2 linked regions of the Callithrix jacchus genome follow. The protein of the gene in region 1 purifies or fractionates together with the protein of each later gene. This does not show direct contact. Links are inferred from orthologs where the notes say so. Each region holds a gene or a part of one and is shown on either strand. Other genes may lie near its edges. The genes, in order: MFAP1 and SF3B1.

The links.
Region 2: the proteins of MFAP1 (region 1) and SF3B1 purify together in Homo sapiens (co-immunoprecipitation; 3 studies listed by BioGRID and IntAct, with this or other methods). This does not show direct contact. The link is inferred for Callithrix jacchus from reciprocal best matches to the Homo sapiens genes MFAP1 and SF3B1.

What each region holds. Positions count from the first base shown.
Region 1 is NC_133509.1:31,480,178-31,492,728, reverse strand, and holds the start of MFAP1 (microfibrillar-associated protein 1), read left to right. Parts: upstream 1-5,439; 5' UTR 5,440-5,575; coding exon 5,576-5,654; intron 5,655-12,551. Other genes in the region: WDR76 (WD repeat-containing protein 76), read right to left, coding at 1,806-2,207, 3,070-3,129. UniProt on the Homo sapiens protein: Involved in pre-mRNA splicing as a component of the spliceosome.
Region 2 is NC_133507.1:118,357,048-118,368,521, forward strand, and holds the end of SF3B1 (splicing factor 3B subunit 1), read right to left. Parts: intron 11,280-11,474; coding exon 11,193-11,279; intron 11,067-11,192; coding exon 10,796-11,066; intron 10,375-10,795; coding exon 10,229-10,374; intron 10,139-10,228; coding exon 9,992-10,138; intron 9,845-9,991; exon of another isoform or gene 9,789-9,844; intron 9,772-9,788; coding exon 9,646-9,771; intron 8,840-9,645; coding exon 8,618-8,839; intron 8,333-8,617; coding exon 8,150-8,332; intron 8,065-8,149; coding exon 7,953-8,064; intron 6,923-7,952; exon of another isoform or gene 6,853-6,922; intron 6,470-6,852; coding exon 6,349-6,469; intron 6,007-6,348; coding exon 5,875-6,006; intron 4,252-5,874; coding exon 3,979-4,251; intron 1,761-3,978; coding exon 1,544-1,760; intron 1,048-1,543; coding exon 889-1,047; 3' UTR 571-888; downstream 1-570. UniProt on the Homo sapiens protein: Component of the 17S U2 SnRNP complex of the spliceosome, a large ribonucleoprotein complex that removes introns from transcribed pre-mRNAs.

The sequences.
Region 1 (12,551 bases):
TCCCAGGTTCAAGCAATTCTCCCATCTCAGCCTGGCTAATTTTTATAATTTCTTTTTTTCTGGGGTGGGGCGTGGAGGAAGAGACAGTCTCACTCTGTCACCCTGGCTGGAGTGCAGTGGCGTGATCTTGGCTCACTGCAACCTTCACCTCCTGGATTCCAGCAATTCTCCTACCTCAGCCTCCCCAAGCAGCTGGGACTACAGGCACCCACCACCACGTCGAGCTTATTTTTGTATTTTTAGTAGAGATGGGTTTCACCATGTTGGCCAGACTGGTCTCAAACTCCACCCACCTCAACCTCCCAAAGTGCTGGGAGTACAGGTGTGAACCACCAAGTTCAGCCTAATTTTTGTATTTTTAGGAGAGATGGAGTTTCACCATTTTGGGCAGGCTGGTCTTGAACTCCTGAACTCAGGTGGATCCATCTGCCTTCTTTAATTTTTAATTTTTTTTTTTTTTTTGGAACAACTCTAATAACTGACCTATTCCTTTACATCAAACTAAAATCTGCTTTATATTTACCTTGTATTCTCAGAATCTTACAGTCTAAAAGGCAAAAGGGATAATCTAATCCAGTGGTTCTCAAAGTGCAGTTCTGGACTAACAACATCAGTGTCTCTAGGAAACTGTTAAATATGCAAATTGGGCTGGATGTGGTGGCTCAAGCCTATAATCCTAGCACTTTGGGAGGCTGAGGTAGGAGGACTGGTTGAGCTCAGGAGCTCAAGACCAGCCTGGGCAACACACACCCCTACCCCTACAACATCCCAATGTCTCTATTAAAGTAAAAAAAAAAAAAGGAAAAAAAAAAAAAAGATATGTAAATTGTATGCTCCAACTTCAAAACTTCTGAATCAAAAACTCTGAGGGTGGGGCCCTGCAATCCAGTCTTAAACTCTGCAGGTAATTTTGATATAGCCTAAAGTTTGAGAACCACAGATTTTATCCAGTCCCCTCACTAAGGTGATTTGTTTAAAGGAACAGGTTTCTTAGAAATGGCTGTGCTAGACTCTCAACCCCAAGTCCAATTCATTTAACACTTACCCCATGCTGTTTCACTATGAGTCCTGGTTCTTAACTCTGGGATGAGAGCACATAAACCAAATTTCTATTTCATAACAATGCCCTTCAATTATAGTATCTCCCTTTACCTACTATCATTTTCTGTTCCCTGAGTTCCAGCAACATTGTGTTATGTACTATGTTTGGTTTTATCTTGTCCTGTGTAAAGTTTGTCACTTTGAATGGAGCACAGCCCTCCTGGTAGGCAGAAGCCAAAAGAATTACAAACCAAATTACTTAAATTGATTGAAATTATATAGAACTAATGTGTTTCTCATGTATCTTCTCTACTCTGTCATTTGTCCCCTTTTGCATTTAAAGGAAATATATTCAACAAATCAATATAATTAATTAATGTTTCCCTACCCTGATATCAAGGGTCAGTCAATACCTTATGTCCCACAAACTGACGACTTCTGATATATTGTACATAAACATGTAATGGTGAGCAAGGCACCATAAAGTATGAGTAAGCCCAAAAATAAATGCAGTAAGTTTAGAGGGAGTAAAAGGGAAACAGAGTAAAGATTAAGTCAATCCTCTCATTGACACACAGCAAGAGCAAAATTAATCCAAGTAAGTTACTTGTTAAACCTTAAAAATAATAGAAATTTATTGTTACACATTAATGATGAAATAATTTGTTTGTATTAGAGAGATCCTTGATAAACTTCGCTTTATCAGAACATCAAATTTCCAAACTTTAAGAGAAACTAGAACAAGCTACTAATTAAGTTCTTACCAGGCCTGGTGTGATATCTTCAGCACTGTCTCCATCCTGACTACTTTCCGTATCAACACCGAGATTCATCGCATCTGTCCTTCTCTTGTGTTGTAACTTGTTACTTTCAGTATGAACAGCTGAGGATGGATTTTGCAGTGTGGATTCTGCCTTGGAAGATGTGGTTTTCATCTTTGGAGGTATAATCCTTCTGCAAGTTTTCTTTATTTTAGTCTTCTTACACGCCACTTCATTGTTAGAATTCTTTTCTAATAGGGATTTGGGGCACATAAGCTGGTCTAGCTGATAATTACTGAGTGAAAAGGGGGTAAGATAGACTGTAGCTGTTTTTATTGAAACTGTAGTCTGCACTGGTTTCAGAGACACATAAGCGATGTTTTGATTTTCTTTATATCCATTTACCTATTCAGATCAATAAAAGAAAAGAGAATATAAGAATTCCAAGTTCTGTGCCTTTCCTTACAGGATCCCTAACAGATCTAATAATTCCCATTTCACGATGACAATATAAATCCAAATTGAGGCCAGGTGAGGTGGGTCACACCTGTAATCCCAGCACTTTGGGAGGCCAAGGAAGGTGGATCACCTGAGGTCAGGAGCTCAAGACCAGCCTGGCCAACAGGATGAAACCCCGCTTCTACTAAAAATAGAAAAATTAGCTGAGTGTGGTGGTGCATGCCTGTAATCCCAGCTACTCGGCAGGCTGAGTCAGGAGGATCGCTTGAACCCCAGGAGGCGAAGGTTGCAGTGGGCCGAGATTGCGCCACTCCACACCAGCCTAGGCAACAGAGCAAAACTGTCTCAAATAAATAAATAAATCCAAATTGATAGCCTGTAAGAAAACTTTTTCTCCCTTCCAAAATCTAGATATGTAATTCATTAACCTTAACCTCAATAGAATTCATTTACTTGGCATATTTCTTGCCCATAAGAGTTTGCCAGACCAATAATAATAATGACTAGCATTTATGACAGAGGCAATTACCGCAACTGCCAGCTGCGGATGGAATGATTTAGAGTGTGAAGCTGACCATAAGTGTGACAAAAGCAAACGCAGAAGGCTGAAGAAAGCGAATCCCAGATCTGACCCTCCCGCTATTTCTAGGATTATTGATTAAACTTTTCGACGACGCTGAAGGCCTCAGGGCAGGGATCCCCGCCTACCCCCAATGCCAGGTGCTCTCGACCTCCCAGGCCTGTATCCCGCAGAACCCCACAGAAACCGAGGCAGAAGCACACCCGGAAGCACCAACCCGTTTCTCACCTTCATCTGGGGTCGCTGTCTGGAGTTCGCCTTCTCAGCCGCCGCGTCCGACCCGGACATCTTTCGGCTGCTTAGCGGCCGGCGCCTTCCCGCCAAGATTGCGGCAGGAGGCCGGGAGGGGTGGAGCGAGGCCGCGAGTAGTAGGGCAGGACGGGGCGGGGCCGGGACGCGGCGGAACCCACTAGCACCACCGCGGTCGCAGCGCAGTAGCAGGAAGACCCGGTTGCGCGCGCCTCTTAAGAAAGCCATCTTAAAGCCCTAGACTGAAAATTCCTTAGGGATGTACTTGGTCTGAATTGACATTTTTACCTTTGACTGGTGATTCTGATTCTGGTGGTACTAGGATGCCGCTCTGCAAAACACTGGCAGGCCGGGCGCAATGGCTCACGCCTGTAATCCCAACATTTTGAGAGGCCGAGAGGAGCGGATCGCTTGAGCCCAGGACTTCGAAACCAGCCTAGGCAACATAGTGAGACCCTATGTCTACAAAAAATACAAAAATTAGTCCTGCGTGGTGCTGTGCGTCTGTAGTCCCAGATACTCGGAAGGCAGGGGTGGGAAAATGGTTTGAACCTAGAAGGATGTAGCCAGTGAGGCATCATGCTGCGGCACTCCAGCCTGGGCGACAGCAAAACCCTGTCTCTTTTATAAATAAATATAAAATAAGATTTTGGCTATTCTTCTGTTTAAGGTTCCTTCTAGCCCAAAACTGTTTCCTTAGTTGCTTAACTGGGTCCCACACTGTTACCTGACTGAGACTGGTCCACCCAAGGCCCAACTGTATAGAATACAGTTGAAGTAATTTGGGTAAATCATATTAACAGCAACTTCAAGGCCCTCCACGACTCAAAAATTACTGATAAAACCAAACTTTTCATGGTGTCCTGTATAATGCACAGTTTCTGGACTGCAAGACTGTTTCTGCTGTCCCTTGTGTCCCCCACAATGATAAAGTCCTTCCTACTGTGAAATATGCCCTTTCCCTTTTTTTCTTTTTTTTCTTTTTTTACACAACCCAGCTGGTAAATTGGGGCTGCTTCTGTTATTATTCTACAAGTCCTTAAAGAGTTCTTAAATAGGCCGGCCGCGGTGGTTCACATCTGTAATCCCAGCACTTTGGGAGGCCGAGGCGGGCGGATCATCAGAGGTCAGGAGTTCAAAACCAGCCTGAGCAACATGGTGAAACTTCGCCTCTACTAAAAACACAAAAATTACCAGGTTGTGGGAGGCCGGAGTGGGTGGATCCCTTGACCCCAGCCAACTCGGTAAAACCGCCTCTACTAAAAATACAAAAATCAGCAGGGCGTGGTGGCGGGTGCTTGTAATCCCAGCTACTCAGAAGGCTGAGACACAAGAATTACTTGAACCCGAGAGGTGGAGACTGCAGTAAGCCGAGATCGCGCCACTGCACTCCAGCCTGGGTGACAGAACAAGACCCTGTCTCGGTGGGGCGCGGTGGCTCACGTCTATAATCCCAGCACTTTAGGAGGCCGAGGTGGGTGGATCACGAGGTCAAGCGATCGAGACCATCCTGGTCAACAAGGTGAAACCCTGTCTCTACTAAAAATACAAAAATTAGCTGGGCATGGTGGTGCGCGCCTGTAGTCCCAGCTACTCGGGAGGCTGAGGCAGGAGAATTGCTTGAACCCAGAAGGCAGAGGCTGGAGATCGTGCCATTGAACTCCAGTCTGGGTAACAGCGAAACTCTGCCTCAAAAAAAAAAAAACCCTGTCTCAAAATAATAATTACCTAGAAACTTAAATGCAAACACTTTCCAGCCAGGAATATATTTTAATAGGTAGTTTCCAACTACCAGTGGAAGAACCTGAAAGCCTAGAAGTGGAGTTTTGGGATTTCGGGCAGGCAATGTCTCAGGCACCTTGGGGGATTTTTTTTTTTTTTTTTTTTTTTTTGGTCACTGGATTAAATCAGCACCACCTGCCCTGTGTGACACCAAATACCGCACCACAGCTCACACTGGCCTCATCAACTGACCTAATCAGATACTATTACCAAGATTTTTACTCCATCTAACTCTACTTTTTCTGAGCTTTCAACAAGCCAAACGGCAACTCACTGGCGCCTCAGTTTCTTATTAATTATGCTGTTCTTGGCTTCTAACCAACCTAACACGTGGAACCTTTCATTAGAACCTTCCTCACCGCAGGGTCCGCCGGTCCTACCAGCAAAGCCCAAAAGAAGCAAAATTTCCCGCCAAAGGCGGTTTCCAATTTCTGCGACGTAGAGGACCCGAGGGCAGCCGAAGAGCAGGCGCAGAAACAGACGCAACTTCCTAGCTGTGGGCGCTCATAGGTCCTCCACCGTCCCACAATCCTCTCGTTACATATTTCCGGTTTATCTAGCCCAGCCGTAAGCGGTTTCGCTATCAGTCGAGCAGCTGTGTTCGTGAACGTAGGTGGAAGGGATCGCTTCTCTTCGTTGACGTTGTTGGTGTTCACTGTTTGGAATTAGTCAAGTTTCGGGAATCACCGTCGCTGCCATCAACATGTCGGTCCCAAGCGCTCTCATGAAGCAACCGCCCATTCAGTCTACGGCTGGGGCCGTCCCGGTTCGCAATGAGAAAGGTACGGTGCTGACAACCCTCTTCCCAGCCGAATTTTACTCTTTCGGCCCCAGCAACCTCCAGATCTCTCCCAGGTCTGGAGAGGTCTGTCTCTCCCAGACAGACCACTTCTATCCCGCCAGCTCTCAAGATTTGGCTCCCAAATTCTTCGACCTTTCCACCCCCACCCACTCGCATCCGATCTTCTTCCTGTGGCCTGCTCTCATATTCAGCAAGCACCCCTTAGCCTACACAAATTCCTTAGACTAATATGTACATTATATATATTACATATATAAAAGTACTTAATAGTTACTTAGGAATTTAACTATATATCAGAATATAGATGTCTAATATCCTGGAATATATGTATTAGTCTAATATTAGAATATAATATCACTACATATTACTAGAATATATGTATTAGTCTACTTAGGAACTTAAGTATATATATATTAATCTAATAATTAGGGACTTAAGTATATATCAGAATATAAATATATAATATCAGACTAGATAGATATGTAGGTAGGTAGATACATAGACAGAGAGAATGCCTATTTGCTGGGCATTGTGCGGGATATAGTCCCTCTTTTGCTGTCCATAGAAGACTGCTTATGCTGCCCAGATTGGACTCGACGTCCTGGACTCCGGCTGTCCTCCTGCCTCAGCCTCCCAGGTAGACACCACCGTGTCTAGCCTCAACATGGATTTTGGGAATTATCTTTGAATCCCTATAGATATTTATTCATCTGAACTGCTTATGAATTCCATTGTGTACACTGTAACCAGCCAGAGGCGGTGGCTCACGCCTGTAATCCCAGCACTTTGGGAGGCCAAGGCAGGTGGATCCCAAGGTCAAGAAATGGAGATTATCCTGGCCGACATGGTGAAACCCCGACTCTACTAAAAATACAGAAATTAGCTGGGCATGGTGGTGTGCACCTGTACAGTCCCAGCTACTTGGGACGCTGAGGCAGGAGAATTGCTTGGACCTGGGAGGCGGAGGTTGCAGTGAGCCGTGATCGCGCCACTTCACTCCAGCCTGGCAACAAAGCGAGACTCGGTCTCAAAAAAAATAAATTAATTAATTAAATAAACTGTAACCCACAGTTTATTCCCTCCTGAGGGGCAGGTAGTTGTCCCATTGCTGTTTTTTTCCCCCTGTTAAAAAAGTGCTGCGGCTGGGCACTGTGGCTCACACCTCTGAGGTGGCGGATCACCTGAGGCTAGGAGTTCCAGACCAGCCTAGCCAACGTGGCGAAACCCCATCTCTACTAAAATACAAAAAATTAGCAAGGCGTGGTGGCAGGCACCTGTAATCCAGCTACAAGTTCAAGTTCTGCAGTTGTTGTTCTTTAGCCAATTCAGCTTTAATACCTCTCCAAAGTGAGTTGTAAAAATGTAAGAATTTGGCCGGGCGTGGTGGCTCATGCCTGTAATCCCAGCACTTTGGGAGGCCAGGGTGGACGAATCATGAGGACAAGAGATCAAAACCATCCTGCTAACATGGTGAAACTCCCTTGAACCCGGGAGGCAGAGGTTGCAGTGAGCTGAGATCGCACCACTGCACTCCAGCCTGGCAACAGAGCAAGACTGTTTCAAAAAACAAAAACAAAAAAGAATATAAGAATTTGTGGAGCACATTGGCTCACACCTGTAATCCCTCACTTCAGCAAGCTGAGGCAGGAGGATCACTAGAGGCCAGGAGTTCAAGACCAGCTTGGGCAACATAGCAAGACTCTCATTTCTACAAAAAAATTTAAAATTAGCTGGATGTAGTGATGTGTTCCTGCTACTTTGGGGAAGCCAAAGCAGGAGAATCACTTAATGCCCGGAAGTTCAAAGCTGCAGTGAGCTATGATTGTGCCGTTATACTCCAGCCTGTGCAACACCTTGAGACCCTGTCTCTTCAAAACAAGGCCGGGCGCAGTGGCTCACGCCTGTAATCCCAGCACTTTGAGAGGCCGAGGCGGATGGATCACAAGGTCAAGAGATCGAGACCATCCTGGTCAACATGGTGAAACCCCGTCTCTACTAAAAAATACAAAAAAAATTAGCTGGGCATGGTCGCGTGTGCCTGTAATCCCAGCTACTCGGGAGTTTGAGGCAGGAGAATTGCCTGAACCCAGGAGGCGGAGGTTACGGTGAGCCGAGATCACGCCATTGCACTCCAGCCTGGGTAACAAAAGCAAAACTCTGTCTCAAAGGCTGGGTGTGGTGACTCGCAGCTGTAATCCAAGCACTTTGGGAGGATGAGGCGGAAGGATCACGAAGTCAGGAGTTCAAGAGTAGCCTGGCCAACATGGTGAAATCCCATCTCTGCTAAAAATACAAAAATTAGCTGGGTGTGGTGGCTAAACCTAGAGAGCGTATTAGACACATGAACAAGATGCCCAGCATCACTAGTAATCAGGGGAATGCAAATTAGAATAACAAGATGCCATTTCACACCTGTTCCACCTGTTAGATTGGGCAAAAATGTAAAAATCTGATACAACCAAGTGTGTAAATGATGAATATATGGGAAATAAAGCTCTGAGGTTCTCAAAGTTTTTTTGTTGTTTTTTTTTTACATGGAGTCTCACTCTGTGCAGAATTGCGATCTTAGCTCACTACAACCTCTGCCTCCTGGGTTCAAGCAGTTCTCTGCCTCAGTCTCCCGAGTAGCTGGGATTACAGGCGCCCGCCACTACACCCAGCTAATTTTTGTATTTTTAGTAGAGACAGTGTTTCACCATGTCTCCAACTCTTGACCTCAGGTGATCCACCTGCCTCAGCCTCCCAAAGTACTGGAATTACAGATGTGAGCCATGGTCCCCAGCTATTTTTTTTTTTTTTTTGAGATGGAGTTACGCTCTTGTTAGCCAGACTGGAGTGCAGTGGGACGATCTCGGCTCACCGCAACCTCCACCTCCTGGGTTCAAGCAATTCTCCTGCCTCAGCCTCCCAAGTAGCTGGGACTACAGGCGCACACCACCATGCCCAGCTAATTTTTGTATTTTTAGTAGAGACAGGGTTTCATCTTGTTGACCAGGATGGTCTCGATCTCTTGACCTCGTGATCCACCCGCCTCGGCCTTCCAAAGTGCTGGGATTATAGGCGTGAGCCACCGGATTCCCAGCTTTCGTAAAGGTTTTCTAGCTTCTGAGTGTTCGTATATATTAAATTGGATTGAATACATACTTATACAAAACACACTTTAAGTTAGGGAGCTTACAGTCCTGTAGGGAATGTAAATATTTAAGATAAGTTTGTTTTTGTTTTAGTTTTTTCCCCCCACAAGATGAAGTCTTGCTCTGTCAGGCTGCAGTGTAGTGGTGCGATCTTGGCTTACTGCAACCTCCACCTCTTGAGTTCAAGCAATTCTCCTGCCTTAGCCACCCGGAATAGCTGGGATTATAGGTGCCCACCACCACACCCGGCTAATTTTTGAATTTTTAGTAGAGACGGGGTTTCACCATGTTGGCCAGGCTGGTCCCAAACTCCTGACCTCGTGATCTGCCTGCCTCAGCCTCCCAAAAGTGCTGGGATTACAGGCGTTAGCCACCGTGCCCAGCTGATAAATTTTTCATAGTTGGGTCTTTAATCCATCTGGAATTTTTGTGTCCATGGTAGAAGTTAGAGGTCTAATTTTACTATATGTTTGGCCAATTGTCCCTTCTCTGCTGATGGATTAGCCCATCCACTCTCTACTGATTTGTAATGCCACTTCTGTAATATACTCAAGTTCTCATATAAGCTTGTTTTTCTGCCCTCTACTCTGTTCAGTTGATCTCTGTGTACTTCCTGGGTCACTGACATATCTGGTAAGCTATTCCCTAACCCTCCTTCCCCACCCCCATCAGCTTTTATTCTTTTTCAGCATTTTCTTGGTTCTTTGGGGCCTCCTGTTCTTCCATATGATTTTGGAATAAGCCTAGCGACAACTTTTAATGGAACAGCATTAAAATGATAGATTATACATTTATAGGTTAATTCAGGCACAGCTGCCATCTTCTCATCTTTGAATGTGAAGTATTTGTTTATTTAGATCTTAGATGTTTTTCATCTTTCAATAAAATTATATCATTTTTCCCTAAAAGCCTGCACATTGTTTATTAGATTTATTCCTCACTGTTTTATACATTCGTTGTGATTTTTCATGGTATTTTAAAACTTCATTTTCTCCAGCCTGGGCAACACAGGAAGACCCCATCTCTACAAAAAATACAATAAATTACCTGGGTGGCACCTGCCTGTAGTCCCAGCTACCCAGAGGCTAAGGAGGGAGGATCACTTTAGCCCAGGAGTTTGAGGCTGCAGTGAGCCGTGATCATCCCACTGCATACCAGCGTGGGTGACAGAGACTCTTTCTCAAAAAGTAAAAAATATACCAGGCATGGTGGCTCACTCCTGTAATCCCAGCACTTTGGGAGGCCTTTGGCAAGAGGATTGCTTGAGCCCAGGAGTTCAAGACAAGCCTGGGCAACATAGTAAGACCTTGTCTCTTTAAAAAAAATTTTTTTAATTTATAGTCCCAAAAATAATTTTTTTGTAATCCCAGCTACTTGGGAGGCTGAGGCAGGAGAACAGTTTGAGCCTGGGAGTTCTCATATAAGGCTGTGGTGAGCCATGATTGTGCCACTGCACTCCAGCCTGGGCAACAGAGTGATTTAGACCCTGTCTCAAGAAAATCAATAAATAAAAATGAAATTGTATTTCCTAGTTATATGTAGCTAATAATATACAGGTATGCTTATTTTTATAAATAAGTTTTATATCCAGCATTTTTTCTGAATTCTTTTAGCTTATCTGTTATCTTGTGTTTTCTCCAAAGACAACCATATAATCTGCAAATTATGGCAATGTCCCCCTTTAAAATCCTTATAAATTTTCCTTACTGACCAAATTAGAACCATAATACAGTATTGACTAGAGGGTATGATAGGGACAACATTAGGATGCCCACTGTTTTTTATAGAGAATGCTTCTGGCCAGGCCCAGTGGCTCACACCTGTAATCCCCACACTGGGAGGCTGAGGCTGGCTGACAACCTGAGGTCAGGAGTTCAAGACCAGCCTGGCCCACATGGTGAAACCCTGTCTACTAAAAAATAAAAAATCGGCCGGTTGCAGTGGCTCACGCCTATAATCCCAGCATTTTGGGAGGCTGAGGCGGGGGGGATCACAAGGTCAATAGATCGAGACCATCCTGGTCAACAAGGTGAAACCCATCTGTACTAAAAATACAAAAATTAGCTGGGCATGATGGTGTGCACCTGTAGTCCCAGCTACTTGAGAGGCTGAGGCAGGAGAATTCCTTGAACCCAGGAGGTGGAGGTTGCGATGAGTCGAGATCATGCCATTGCACTCTAGTCTGGGTAACAACAGTGAAACTCTGTCTCAAAAAAAATAAATAAATAAAAAATTAAAAAATTAGCCAGGCATGGTGGTGGGCACCTGTAATCCGAGCTACTCAGGAGCCTGAGGCAGGGAGAATTGCTTGAACCCAGGAGGCGGAGGGTGCAGTGAGCTGGGATCATGCCACTGTGCTGTAGCATGGGTGACAGAGCAAGACTCCATCTCAATCAATCAATCAATAGAATGCTTCCATTGTTTTATCATTAAGTATAAAGTCTGCTGTATCGTTTAAAAAAAATGTGACTAAAAAATAGTAGACCAGGAGAGATGGCTCACACCTGTAATCCCAGCACTTTGGGAGACTGAGGCTAGAGGATCACTTGAGGCCAGGAGTTCAAGGCCAGCCTGGGGAACATAGTGAGACCCTCTCTCTACCTTTTTAAAAATAACAAAAATGAGTTAAAAATAGTATATTGCTTCCCCTCCCATTGTCTATCTACCTATGTATATTAATATAGATAGATAGATAGATGATTTTTTAAGACAGTCTCGCTGTGTTTCCCAGGCTGGAGTGCAGTAGCGTGATCTCAGCTCACTGCAACCTCCACCACCCAGGTACAAGTGATTCTCCTACCTTAGCCACCTGAGTATCCAGGATTAACAAGCATGTGCCACCACACCTGGCCAATTTTTGTATTTTTAGTAGAGACAGGGTTTCACCATGTTGGCCAGGCTGGTCTTGAACAGCTGGCCTCAATTGATCTGCCCACCTTAGCTTTCCAAAGTGGTGGGATTACAGGCATGAGCCACTGTACCAGCTATATATATTTTTGTATTTGACCCAGGGTCTTACTCTATCACCTGGGGTCGAGTGAGTGCCAGGGTGTGATCACAGCTTGCTGCAGCCTCTACCTCCTGGTCTCAAGCAATTCTCCCATCTTACCCTCCCAAGTAGCTTGGGACCACAGACATGCACCACCATGCCCAGAAATGCATGTCTGTAGAAAATTCTTTCTACTTTTAGTAGAGATGAAGTCTAACTGTGTTGCACAGGCTGGTCTTGAAATCCTGGGTTTAAACAATCTCCTGCCTCAACCTTCCAAAATGCTGGGATCAGAGGTGTGAGCCACCGCGCTCGGCCCCCTCGTTAATTTTCTAAGGTGAAACTATCCTTGTAGTCTTGGGCTAAATTCTAATAAGCTGTGTTGACTTAGGGGTTTTTTTGTTTAAGTAGTTTTTGGATAGTTTTTATACTGCTGGGATAAATTTGCTCTTATTTTAGTATTTTTGTATTGATGTTTGTAAGTGAAATCCACCTGAAGTTTTCCTTTGAACTGTCCAATTTGGTTATCAAGATTATACTCATAAAATAAGTTGGTTAGTTTTCACTGTCTCTCTTGTTCACTAGAATTGTTTGTATCTGTAAACAGTTACCTACTCTTGCAGGTTTGATAGCACATAAGGTAAAGGAAAAGAAGATAGAAATAGGTAAGGTTAGAATATTGAGTCATGTGGCAATATGTTATAAAAGATGCCATGGAAATCCCAGAGGGAACTACAATAATGCCTGAGCAGTA
Region 2 (11,474 bases), on another chromosome or scaffold:
GCACAGTGGCTGGCATACAGTAGGTACTCAATAGGTATTTACTGATGCATTGCTGAGTAGTGGCTTATGACATGGGGAAAAGCCCAACATTGTCCTGTTCTATCAGCATTACTTAGGTAGCCTCACTCCCAAAAGGCAGAGAGCAGTTTTGAAGTAAAGTTATCTTCCTCCCTTGCTAAACACAGTAGACCTACCAAGCATTAGACAAAACTTAAACCACTTCCTTTAAACATGTTCATAAAGCATTTTGAGAAATCAAGAGATGAAAGGCGCTATGTAAGTACAAAATATTATTCAAGACAGTTCAGCAAAAGTGCTACTTTCCTATGATGATGGAATGGTTGTGCTAGTTTGAGGGGAACACCTCCCCAAGACTACTCTTCTTCCTGTCATTAACAGAACAATGGAATTCTGACAAATATGCCATCACTTTATATAGTTTTTATTCTGCTACTTTCTATAAACCAGGTGACAGAAAATGAAATTAAGCCACTTAATCCACATAAACCAATACTTTACCAAAGTTCCGCATTTTACAAGTCATGTTCAAAAAACAGACACAAATTAGCATTTTGTACACAAATGTTTATTTCTTAATTAAACATTCCCTTTAAACACAAGGAATGAGTTCTAAATCTTCATAAAGATGAATTAAAAATGAAATCCCTCCAGTATAGTGTATGTAATCACTGTGTTCTTGGTCACTACTGGCATTTACTGTTTAACATCAAAAACAAAGACAGGTTATTTAAAAATCATGCTACTGGATTTCTAGCTCTTCCTCTATGACCAGCTCTATACTGATCTGCAATGTTTAAAAGTTTACATCACCAAATCGAAGCAAGTTTAAGGTGTGAAATAGCTGTGCATTAAACACAAACAATAAAATTATAAGATATAATCAAGTTCATAACGAATATAGGTGTTCTTATCATCATTGTAGATTCTTGGGTAATGTGCTATGAGAGCGTCCTGGGAACCAATGTAGATGGAGTTGTAAATTTTCCAATATACATCTCTGACTTTCCGGGCTGGGTGAAACAGACCCTAGAATAATTGAACAGTTAAATCATTTCAATTTTCAAGAACATACATAACCTTAACAAAATTAACAAACAAACTATATAGATATGATTCAAAATTATTTCCCTTGGGGAGGGGGAACCTAGTAATTACACAAAACTATAACGGAAGAGAAAAAACTAACTCCTCCCTCACCACACAACTGTTCTCCCATATAGCACAATATAGCCTTATTGATAATCAGAAAAGGTAACTTAATTCAACACACTACTTTTTCTTGCTAAGTAATCTTTTAAAAACTTTTAACTTACAGGAGGTGGGGAAAAAGGGGAGGGAGAGCATTAGGACAAATACCTAATGCATGTGGGGCTTAAAACCTAGATGATGGGTTGATAGGTGTAGCAAACGACCATGGCACATGTATACCTATATAACAAATCTGCTCATTCAGGACATGTATCCCACAACTTTAAATTAAAAAAAAAAAAATCAACAATTAAAAAGAAAATCTTTACCTTACCTGTAAACAATATTGCAACATTCTACATGGTCCAATAGCAACTCTCAGGCCCTCTAGGGCTCCCATAACTGCCTGAATTACATGAGGAGATGTCTCAAACACATTTGGCCATACATAGTTCAACAAGTGATTCAGTGAATCTTCACAACCAAATCCATAAACCCCAAGTGACATGTGCTGTACCACCGCACTAGCTGTCTGTCTGTGTACAAGGTCTCTACAAAGGAAGGGAAAAAAATCCTTTAAGATACGGTCTTAGTTTTACAGGAAATATTCACCTGCCTATTAAAAACGAATTCAGTGCACTGAACAGATGTAAAGTCATCCTAACATTTCATGTATCTAATATATCCTTTAGAATGACTAAAGCTTCCACTTGAGGACTTTTGCTTTAATGACTCAAGCTTCACTATGGCTCAACTATTAAGCCATATTTTCTAATTAACTTTTAAAATGAATATGAGCAGAAGGGCTCTGTGATGTCTTGGCTTTGTTATGCTACTAAAGAGGAGACGTGACTCTAACTATGAATAATGAACAGTAATAACTTATTTTACACTTTTTTAAAAATTATTTTTCAGGCCAGGCATGGTGGCTCATGCCTGTAATCCCCTAGCACTTTGGGAGGCCAAGGTGGGTGGATTGCCTGAGGTCAGGAGTTCGAGACCAGCCTGGCCAACGTGGCGAAACCCTATCTCTACTAAACATACAAAAATTAGCCAGTAGTGCTGGGCACCTGTAATCCCAGCTACTCAAGAGGCTGAGACAGGAGAATTACTTGAACCCAGGGGGACAGAGGTTGCAGTGAGCCGAGACCACACCCTTGCACTCCAGCCTGGGCAACAAGAGTGAAAATGTTTAAAAAAAAAAAAAAATTTATTTTTCTTTTTTATTTTTAGAGATAGGGCCTCGCTATGTTGCCCAGGCTGGCTGTGAATTCCTGGGATCAAGCCATCCTCCTGCCTTGGCTGCCCAAATCATTTTAAACTCTTGATTATAAACTTAAATTTTTACCAGTACTTTAGATACTGGCATATAATAGATAACTGAATTAAAATTAAATTCCCTTCTCACATAAAGTTTATGCTTCATTCAGTAACTTAATTTGAGCAAAGGAAGAAAGCTCAATAATTTTTTCAAACCTACAGAAATAACTATCATCTCCTACATTAACTGAATTTATGTTTATGAAAAATCAATGAGTGATTCATTCCACAATTATTCAACCAAGTATGAACTCATTGGCTAACATACTGGGATTTGCAACAGGTATGAAAATGAGTTTCCACATTTTGTCCCAAAGACAGTAAGACAGACCATATCAAAGATATAAGAGAAAAAGGCTTGTATTTATTAATACCCTTGTTTTTCTTGTTTATTTTAATAATGTCATTCAGCATAAGCATGAAGCAGTATTCCTCATTAATAAAACTTCCAACTGAAGTATTCTTTCCATTTAGTAATTTTCAATGGAATTACTCCCCAACTTCTTAGTATACGGAACAAAATTTTTAACTGTAAAAGTTAAAATTTTTAATTTAGTACACAGAACAAAATTTTTAACCATAGTGCTCAGGCACTTCTCAATGAGGAGTATGGAGCAAGAGCAATTTACCCTCATTTTTTTCTGCCCTGGGCAGCAAGGCTTTTACAGAGCTCAATTCTTACTTTGTCTCCATGTCTTGCATATATATATTCTGGTAACTTTTTGATGAGTCCATTTAAGTCTCCCTTTCAGGTCATTAATGAATAACTTTAATTTATACACAAAAGTATTTGAATGGGCTCTGATTTGAGTAACTTATCTCTCCTGAAAAATACAGAGCCAGTTAAACAGTTCTTTCCTTTACTATGCCTGCACTTTCCTTTGCACTTTCTTCAGTTACTTTTGTGTTTACGGCTATAATATCAGTCTAGATGGTAAAAGGTATTAGGAATCTGTCAAATAACTCAAACAGTACTGTACTGGTGGTCACCATCTGAAACACTAGGGATCTGCAATGGGAAGAGTGCAGCTCTGTCAGACTATGTTCAGTAATTCGAAAGCTTAAGAGAAATCTGTGCTTTACCTACAATAAAAAGCTAAAAAACATCAGGTCTCTGCCACACTGACTAGCTCCTGCTCATCAATTCCTGTAACTATATTTGACCAATTTTGAAAACAAAAGATTATCAACCCTTTTCAAAATGTAGTTCAACAGATATGAAAAGAGATTTAAAGGGAGGTGGGGAACTTGAAAGAAACTTTGGAGAATCACTACAATGTGCACATTATTTTAAATAATAAGTCATATTTACAATGTCCTAAGACTCCAGGCTAGCATTTTTTTCTTTATCTACATTACAATGAAAAGTCATCTAATAACTATTTCAGGATGTTCTAAAATGAAGGAAGAGTTATAATTATTTTCCTGTATTTAGTTCAAGTCACTTACCTATCCATTAAAGCATCTTCAAGTAATGGTGTTACAGCATAAATGTAGTCTTTTCCCATTTCACCAATATATTCAAACAAGAAGGAAAGTGATTTTAACACTCCATTTTGAACATTCAGTTCAGGAACTCTGTATTCATTCATTAAGGCAGGGAGTACTGTAAAGGGTGAACACGTTTCTGCAACAATAGCTATTGCTACAGTGGTACAAACTCTGTTCTGCCTTTCTTGAACTTTGAGGTTGTTTAGAAGTGTAGCCAATACATCATGAGGGCTGAAAAAAAACAAATGGGTCAACAATAATAAGTCGAACTTTGATTTCCATAAGTCAAAAATTTATGGAAGAAAAAAACGCATGAGGATGAAAACTTTTAAATACTAATGACAGGGAGCTCAGTAATTTTATGATAAAAATGCAGTATTTTCAAGTCACTGGCATTGTTGTTTCTATATGAAAATTTCATATAAATTAAAAGATCAGTTTTTAAAAGTTAACTCTGAGATCAGAGGCCATAGCTGTATGAATTCTAAAAATGTTAAGTTAACTCAAATTAATTCTCAATGTTCAGTCTTTAAACTTTCTGATATATAAAGAAATGTAAGTAAATGTTTAAAGTGAGTAATTCTCTGAGTTGTCAAAATGGGCACTAGAACTAGGTATGAGTATCCAAATTGCAGTCTCCCACTATAAACCATATGAAATCTTTTTTCCTTTCATATTCCCTCCCACACAATTTGCTGCATCTATTCACCTCTTCTTTGACATAAGCTTATGGGACACTGAGGCTAAAAGCTTGCACAACAGCTATTGGCTGCAAATTTCTTGACTCCATCACCACTAAAATAAATATTATGCTACCAAAATAGGAGAGGAATGAGTATGTGTTAAGAGAGAGAGTATGGTCTGGTTAATTCTAACTAAGGAATCAGACATTCGCATGTCATATTCCTTAAAAACATTTTCTTACTTAAGCCACATGAACACGCAGTGTCTCGTTTTCTATAATGACTGCTTTTTCCCACTTTAGTTGTAATGGAGTGGAAGTAAACAACCACAGATTATTTCACAAAGCAGCTATAATTCAGTTAAATCTGTGGATTAATGTTAGAATAGCATTTTTGTTGTTTTTTTAGAGACAGGGTCTTGTCCTGGGCCCAGGTGCCCAGGCTGGGGTACAGTGGCACAATCACAGCTCACCGTAACCTTGAACTCCTAAGCTCAAGCAATCCATAATAAAATTTTTAAAACACAGAGCATTCAATATGAGACTTAAATGATGCTGTAAGATTAAAAACTTGCCTTTATAGTTTAAGCAATATCCAAAAAACCAATACACATTTAAAATTTTTCTGAAAATGGTACTGTTTCTCTCCCTGAAAATACCTAACATATAATTAAAGTAAATTTATTTTAATTCAATTAAAAATTTAAGACTACAGGCTGGGCGCAATGGCTCACACCTGTAATCTCAACACTTTGGGAGGCCAAGGCAGGTGAATCATTTGAGGTCAGGAGTTCAAGAGCAGCCTCGCCCACATAGTAAAAACCTCGTCTCTACTAAAAAATACAAAAAATTAGCCAGGTGTGGTGGTGCAACACCTGTAGTCCCAGCTACTGGGAAGGCTGAGACAGGAGAATCACCTGAACCCAGAAGGTGGAGGTTGCAGATCACATCACTGCATTCTAGCAGTGAGTAACAGAGCAAGACTTTGTCTCGAAAAGAAAAAAAAAAAAAAAGAAAGAATTGAATTTAAGAATGCATTCCAATAATCAGAAGGTCAGCGGTTAAATGAAGTGCTTTTGCAACTGCATTACTCAGACCATGCCTCAAAAGAGATTTCAACACCACAACGGATTTACTATAATTTTTTTTTAATGGAAGTAAATAACACTCACCCAATGGCCTTTGCAATATAACCAAATGTGTTGACTGTGGCTCTACGAATAGCTTTTTTGTGGGCTTTTAAAAGCTCTAAAAGCTCAAAGCAAATCCTCATCCATTCTCTTGCAGATACATATTCAGCTCCCCTAATTAAAAAAGAAATACACATATTAATTTTTGTGACATTAAGTTTTAAGGGTAAATTTGCAAATTCAGTTCTAAAAACATGATTGCTAGCTCATTTTAAGCATTAAATAAAAGTTATTACTCTTCAGAAAGGTTAGAGTTAGTCTTAAAGGTTTAGTCTTAAAATTATATTGCCACCCCATTACCATCCAAAATGAAATTTGACTGAAAATATTAATACTGGATAGCCTAATCATATACACTTATATTAGTGACATTAAAAAAATTTTGCTAATTGAATAAAAAGTGGCCAAACTTGAAAACTGATATTGCTTATAAAAATGTTTGGGTAATCTGCTTACCTGTCAGCAATACGCCCAACAAGATCAATACAATTCTCTTGTACTTTTTCATGTCTGTTCTTTAAGATGGGGGTGAGTCTAGGCAGCAGATCTTTAATTGGTGGAGTCATCTTATGCATACCTATTTAATAGAAGTCAATACACTATCAACATTTAAATTGCAACTTTTGTTCACTTTCCTTTTACTTAGCAATGTCATATATGACTGTGCATAAATATAAACTTACAGCTGCCTTTGGAAAGAGAAAGCCCAGATTCTGACCAGATTCAGAATCGTTTTTAACTTTCATTAACAACTTTTGATTATGCATAGAAATGAAAGAAATCAGTGAAGTGATTTAAATGATGGATACTCAATAACAAAAAAGTTTTGTTTGGTTCTGAAATGTATTTGTGTACTGACATTTAAATATGGGGACAGCTTATGTTCCGGCCGTACACAACAATATAAGCCAGAGGTAAACATGTAAATAAAGCAAAAATTTCCAGAAAGGGCCCCCTTACCCTTTAACTGCAAAACAAACAGATCTCCAGTCTCCCTGCAATGCAGGGCATACTTGGATGGTATTTACACCTATGAAGAGAGAAAAAAGGAGGCAGCTGGCAGGGGCTCTTGCTCTAACTAGAATCGCGTGCTCTGATTCTCTCTCCATTGCTCTTCCCATGCCTCTCTCTGACAAATAATACAGTTTGAAACTCCCTGCAAACCAGAGGCCTACAAATGGCTGTGTAAATGATTTTTGGCAAGTAACTATCTTCAAGTATAGAGGACTGGGCTGCATTGGAGATTATATGCAAATAGAATAGTATAAAGATATAAATTGCATAAAAACTTTTTATATCTAATGAGAAAAAAACAAACAGTGGCTCTCTTACAGTCAGCTATTTTGACTTCTGCTAGGTTATCAGACCCTCTAAACTCTGCAGGAGTTACATTTGTCAACAGTCATAATAAATTTTTTAAAAAAAGATTAAATACAAGAACCCATGTCTTTTCTTGGTCATACTGACCTAACAGAATAAAAACTTTGCTCTCCGTATCTAAGACCATTTGTAATATAACTGTGTTTTGGGTTAGAAAATTCAACAGACAATTTTTAAAACTTGGGTATATAAATAAATTTAAGAAAATAATTTGATCAATTCACTTTTCTGATTATACTCCTTGAAACTGATGGTAAGTAAAAAAAACTGTCATAATCACTTACTAATTCAAGATTATATATATATTTATATATAATTCTAAAACTAAATTAAAACTTCAGGGTTGCCTTTTTGCCCTGCAGAATATATTTCAGCTGACACACCATTTTTACTAGGGTCCTATATTCCATAACCTCAAAGCTTTTGGAATTGTGACTACTCCCACCTCTCCTGTAGGTCCCAAACTTGCCCTTTTTTTCTCTTTGAAGTAACATATAAACGGGTTTTGGGAAACAAGACTTTTGTGGCATCCCCTGACTTAACTACAATCTTGAAGTGCTTTTAAAAAAGTAACAAAAACCTCCCAACACCTAAATAAGACTCTGTATTTTACTTAAAATAAGAAAAAAGAAAGTTAAACAAAACAAGAAAAAGTCTTATGCAACCAGCAAACTCCATACCTATGACATTTACAATGGCCTTCAGTGCTCCAAGAATGCTGCCCAATACTTCAGGGTACTCTTCACCCAAATACTCATACAATACAACACCCAAGTGTCCCATCAATTTTTCCTATAATAAAACAAATAATGTTAAAATGTTACCATTTACATTAAACTATTTAGTGAAGAAGTAAAAATTTGACACAAAACTTTACCTCTTGACAAGTCTTCATAACAACAGCAGTTCGAGAAATCAAGTCAGCTGCCTGTTGCCTAACTTTTGCAGATTTGTTATTTAAACGCCACAAAACTGTACCACAGATCTGAGGCAAGTATGGTTTGACTCGTTTGCCAAGAGCATTCACCACTGTGCCAAAGCCATTCAACATTACTGAGTCCTAAAATAAATAAATAAAAAGACACAATCATTTGGTTTCTTTATGACTACACAGTTGAAATATACTAATAGTCAATCTTTTTCAACCACCAAAACATCTGTTGTTTTTTTACATCAAATCTTAAAACTTGAGATAGAATATTTTTTTGGTATCCAAGAACAGGAGCATTTTAAAAATTACTTCAAATACAACTGCATTTTAGAAAAATTTGCTTGACAAGTAATATGCTTCTTCTAAAAATATGAAAGTCAGTGGCAGTGTGCCATAATAATTAGTTATCATTACCTCTGTAGTCTGTTCTTGGAAAGCATAAAGAATACCATCAATCAGTTGTTCTTCAAGTTTATGATCAATATCTGCTGCTCCCAAATTGCCCATAATTTTCTCAATTGTCTCCATCACCATTTTTCTGTACTGTTCGGCTTCATCCTTCAGATCATCCACAATCCTGGATATAATTTCTGCTGCACCTACTTTGTTTGCCAACTCCACAGTAGTATCAACTAACTAAAAAGAACAAAAAACAACAACAACAAAAAAAAAACACCTCTTTTAGACTGCTTTTCCAAGGAAACAAAGCAACATCATAAAAACCAAATACTCTAAATGTATTATTTAGCTAGTAAACATACCATGAATGATTCATTGCTATTTATTAAAGTTGAAGAGAAAAGTGACCAAACAATTTAAGAATGAGTATAAGCTAACGTGATTCAAGGTAGGTAAACTGTATCCATGTTTCACCTAGCCAGATAAAGCACTGGATTTACCAGACAAAAACATCAATTCACAGTTGAGTATTGATCCTTGAATGCCAAGTCAAAATGGAAGTTAACCAGCTGACTAAAATCCACCTCCTTTCTTTCTTTTTTTTTTTTTTTTTTTTTTTTTTAAAGACGGAGTTTCGCTCTTGTTACCCAGGCTGGAGTGCAATGGTGTGATCTGGGCTCACTGCAACCTCCGCCTCCTGGGTTCAGGCAATTCTCCTGCCTCAGCCTCCTGAGTAGCTGGGATTACAGGCACGCGCCACCGTGCCCAGCTAATTTTTTGTATTTTTAGTAGAGACGAGGTTTCACCATGTTGACCAGAATGGTCTCGATCTCTTGACCTCGTGATCCACCCGCCTCGGCCTCCCAAAGTGCTGGGATTACAGGCGTGAGCCACCGCACCCGGCCTCCACCTCCTTTCATAATCAAGCACATATGAACTGTGAGATAATCAAAGCAAAAAAATAATATGCAACATGGATTCAACGAAATAAAAAATGAGTATAAAGGATTTTTGAGAATATTTTTTTTACAATAAAAGCTTACCTGTCGGTAATTTCTTCTATCCAAAGCCATCCTGTGCTGCCAGAAGTGTTTAAAAAATGGAGGAAGAATCTCTGTTTTAATATAGTTTGCTTCTACACCATCTGTCCCACAACACTGTTTTACCACCTAAAAGGTTAAAAAAACAGTAATAATAAATCAACTGACCTGAAATGAAGAGAATACTCATTGCTGATTACTTGATATTGAAAAATAAAATTTAAAACAAATCAAACAGTACTGGTGTAACATAGTTTTCTTTTGCTGTTGTTTTTTAAAAAAACACTTTAAAATTATCTAAGAACCATTAAACAAACCCGGTTTACGTTAACAAATTTGGAATAAATACCTTCAGCACAATTTTCTTCATTTCCTCATCAGGAGATTGGAATTCTCGAATAAGGATTAACATCACTTCTCTAGTATAGTAGTTGGCATATTCTGCATCCATGAGAGGAATAAGATACCCAATAGCCTTTAAGAAAGCAGCTAAACCCTGTTTTTAAATAAAAAATAAATGTAGTTTAGTAATTTAGATTTATGTCACCTTAATGAAGAGAAATCAAAAAGTAATTGGTGGATTTACCTTTCCTCTGTGTTGGCGGATACCCTTCCATAAAGGCTTTAAGACAGAATCAAAAGATTCGATACCATAAGGAGTTGCTGCTTCAGCCAAGGCAGCAATGGCCAAAGCACTGATGGTCCGAACCTTCTGCTGCTCATCCACAAGACCTACAAAACCAAACACAGGTTTTAACTATGCACCAACATTACCTAAGTTATACAATATCATCCAGATTCTTGCACTATATCAACTATTTAGCTAAACTGCAGAATGTGCTCACATTAGACAAAATTAGGTAAAAGCAAATATGAACCACAGCCTGTTAGCAGATAACATCACAAACCCATAAAATATATAGTTTGTACAGTTACGCCCTTCCATTTATCTCCCCAAATCAGTAGCCCAAATTTTAGGACAGCTGTCCTATTAAATGTAGACAGGCTTTTGTGTGTACCTCTAGTCCCAGCTACTCAGGAGGCTGAGGCAGGAGGATCACTTGAGCCCAGAAGTTTGAGTCCAGTCTGGGCAACATAGTAAAGACCTTACCTCTTAAAGAGAAAAAAAAGACAAAGTTACATTGCAACTTACCATGTTCAATGATTTCAACTAAACTTCTAAGATGCGGCAAGATGGCACAGCCCATAAGAATAGCTATCTGTTGTACAATCTTAATACCAGTGTGTCTTGCTTGCCAGGACTTCTTGCTTTTGCACACAGCTTTTAAGAAGGGCAATAAAGAAGGAATGCCCAGGGCAGAGGCCACAACAGCAAAAGCTCGAGCTGTTGTGTTACGGACATACTCATCCATGTTATCTATATCAGGTCTCATGGTAGAGATCATAGTAGCCAGACCAGCAGCCTAAAAAGTAAAGAAAAAAGGAACAGTCATCAGTTGCCAATATTAATGTTCAACCATTTCCTTCCATAATCAAATAATTCCACAAACAGATAAAAATTTTCTTCTCTAGAAATTTAATGTAAATACCTTTGCCAAATTAGAAATGATCTCTCGGCCTTCCACTCTAGCATAGTAATCTTCATCAATCAATAGCGGTTCAATGACCACGAGGATCTGAAAAAGAAAAAAAAAAGAGAAGAAGCTACACTTTGACATCAATTACTGATGTTTTTAAAAAAATAACTTATGGCCAGGTGCGGTGGCTAACACCTGTAATCCCACCACTTTGAGTGGGTGGATCGCCTGAGGTCAGGAGTTCAAGATCAGCCTGGCCAACATGGTGAAACCCCACCTCTACTAAAAATAAAA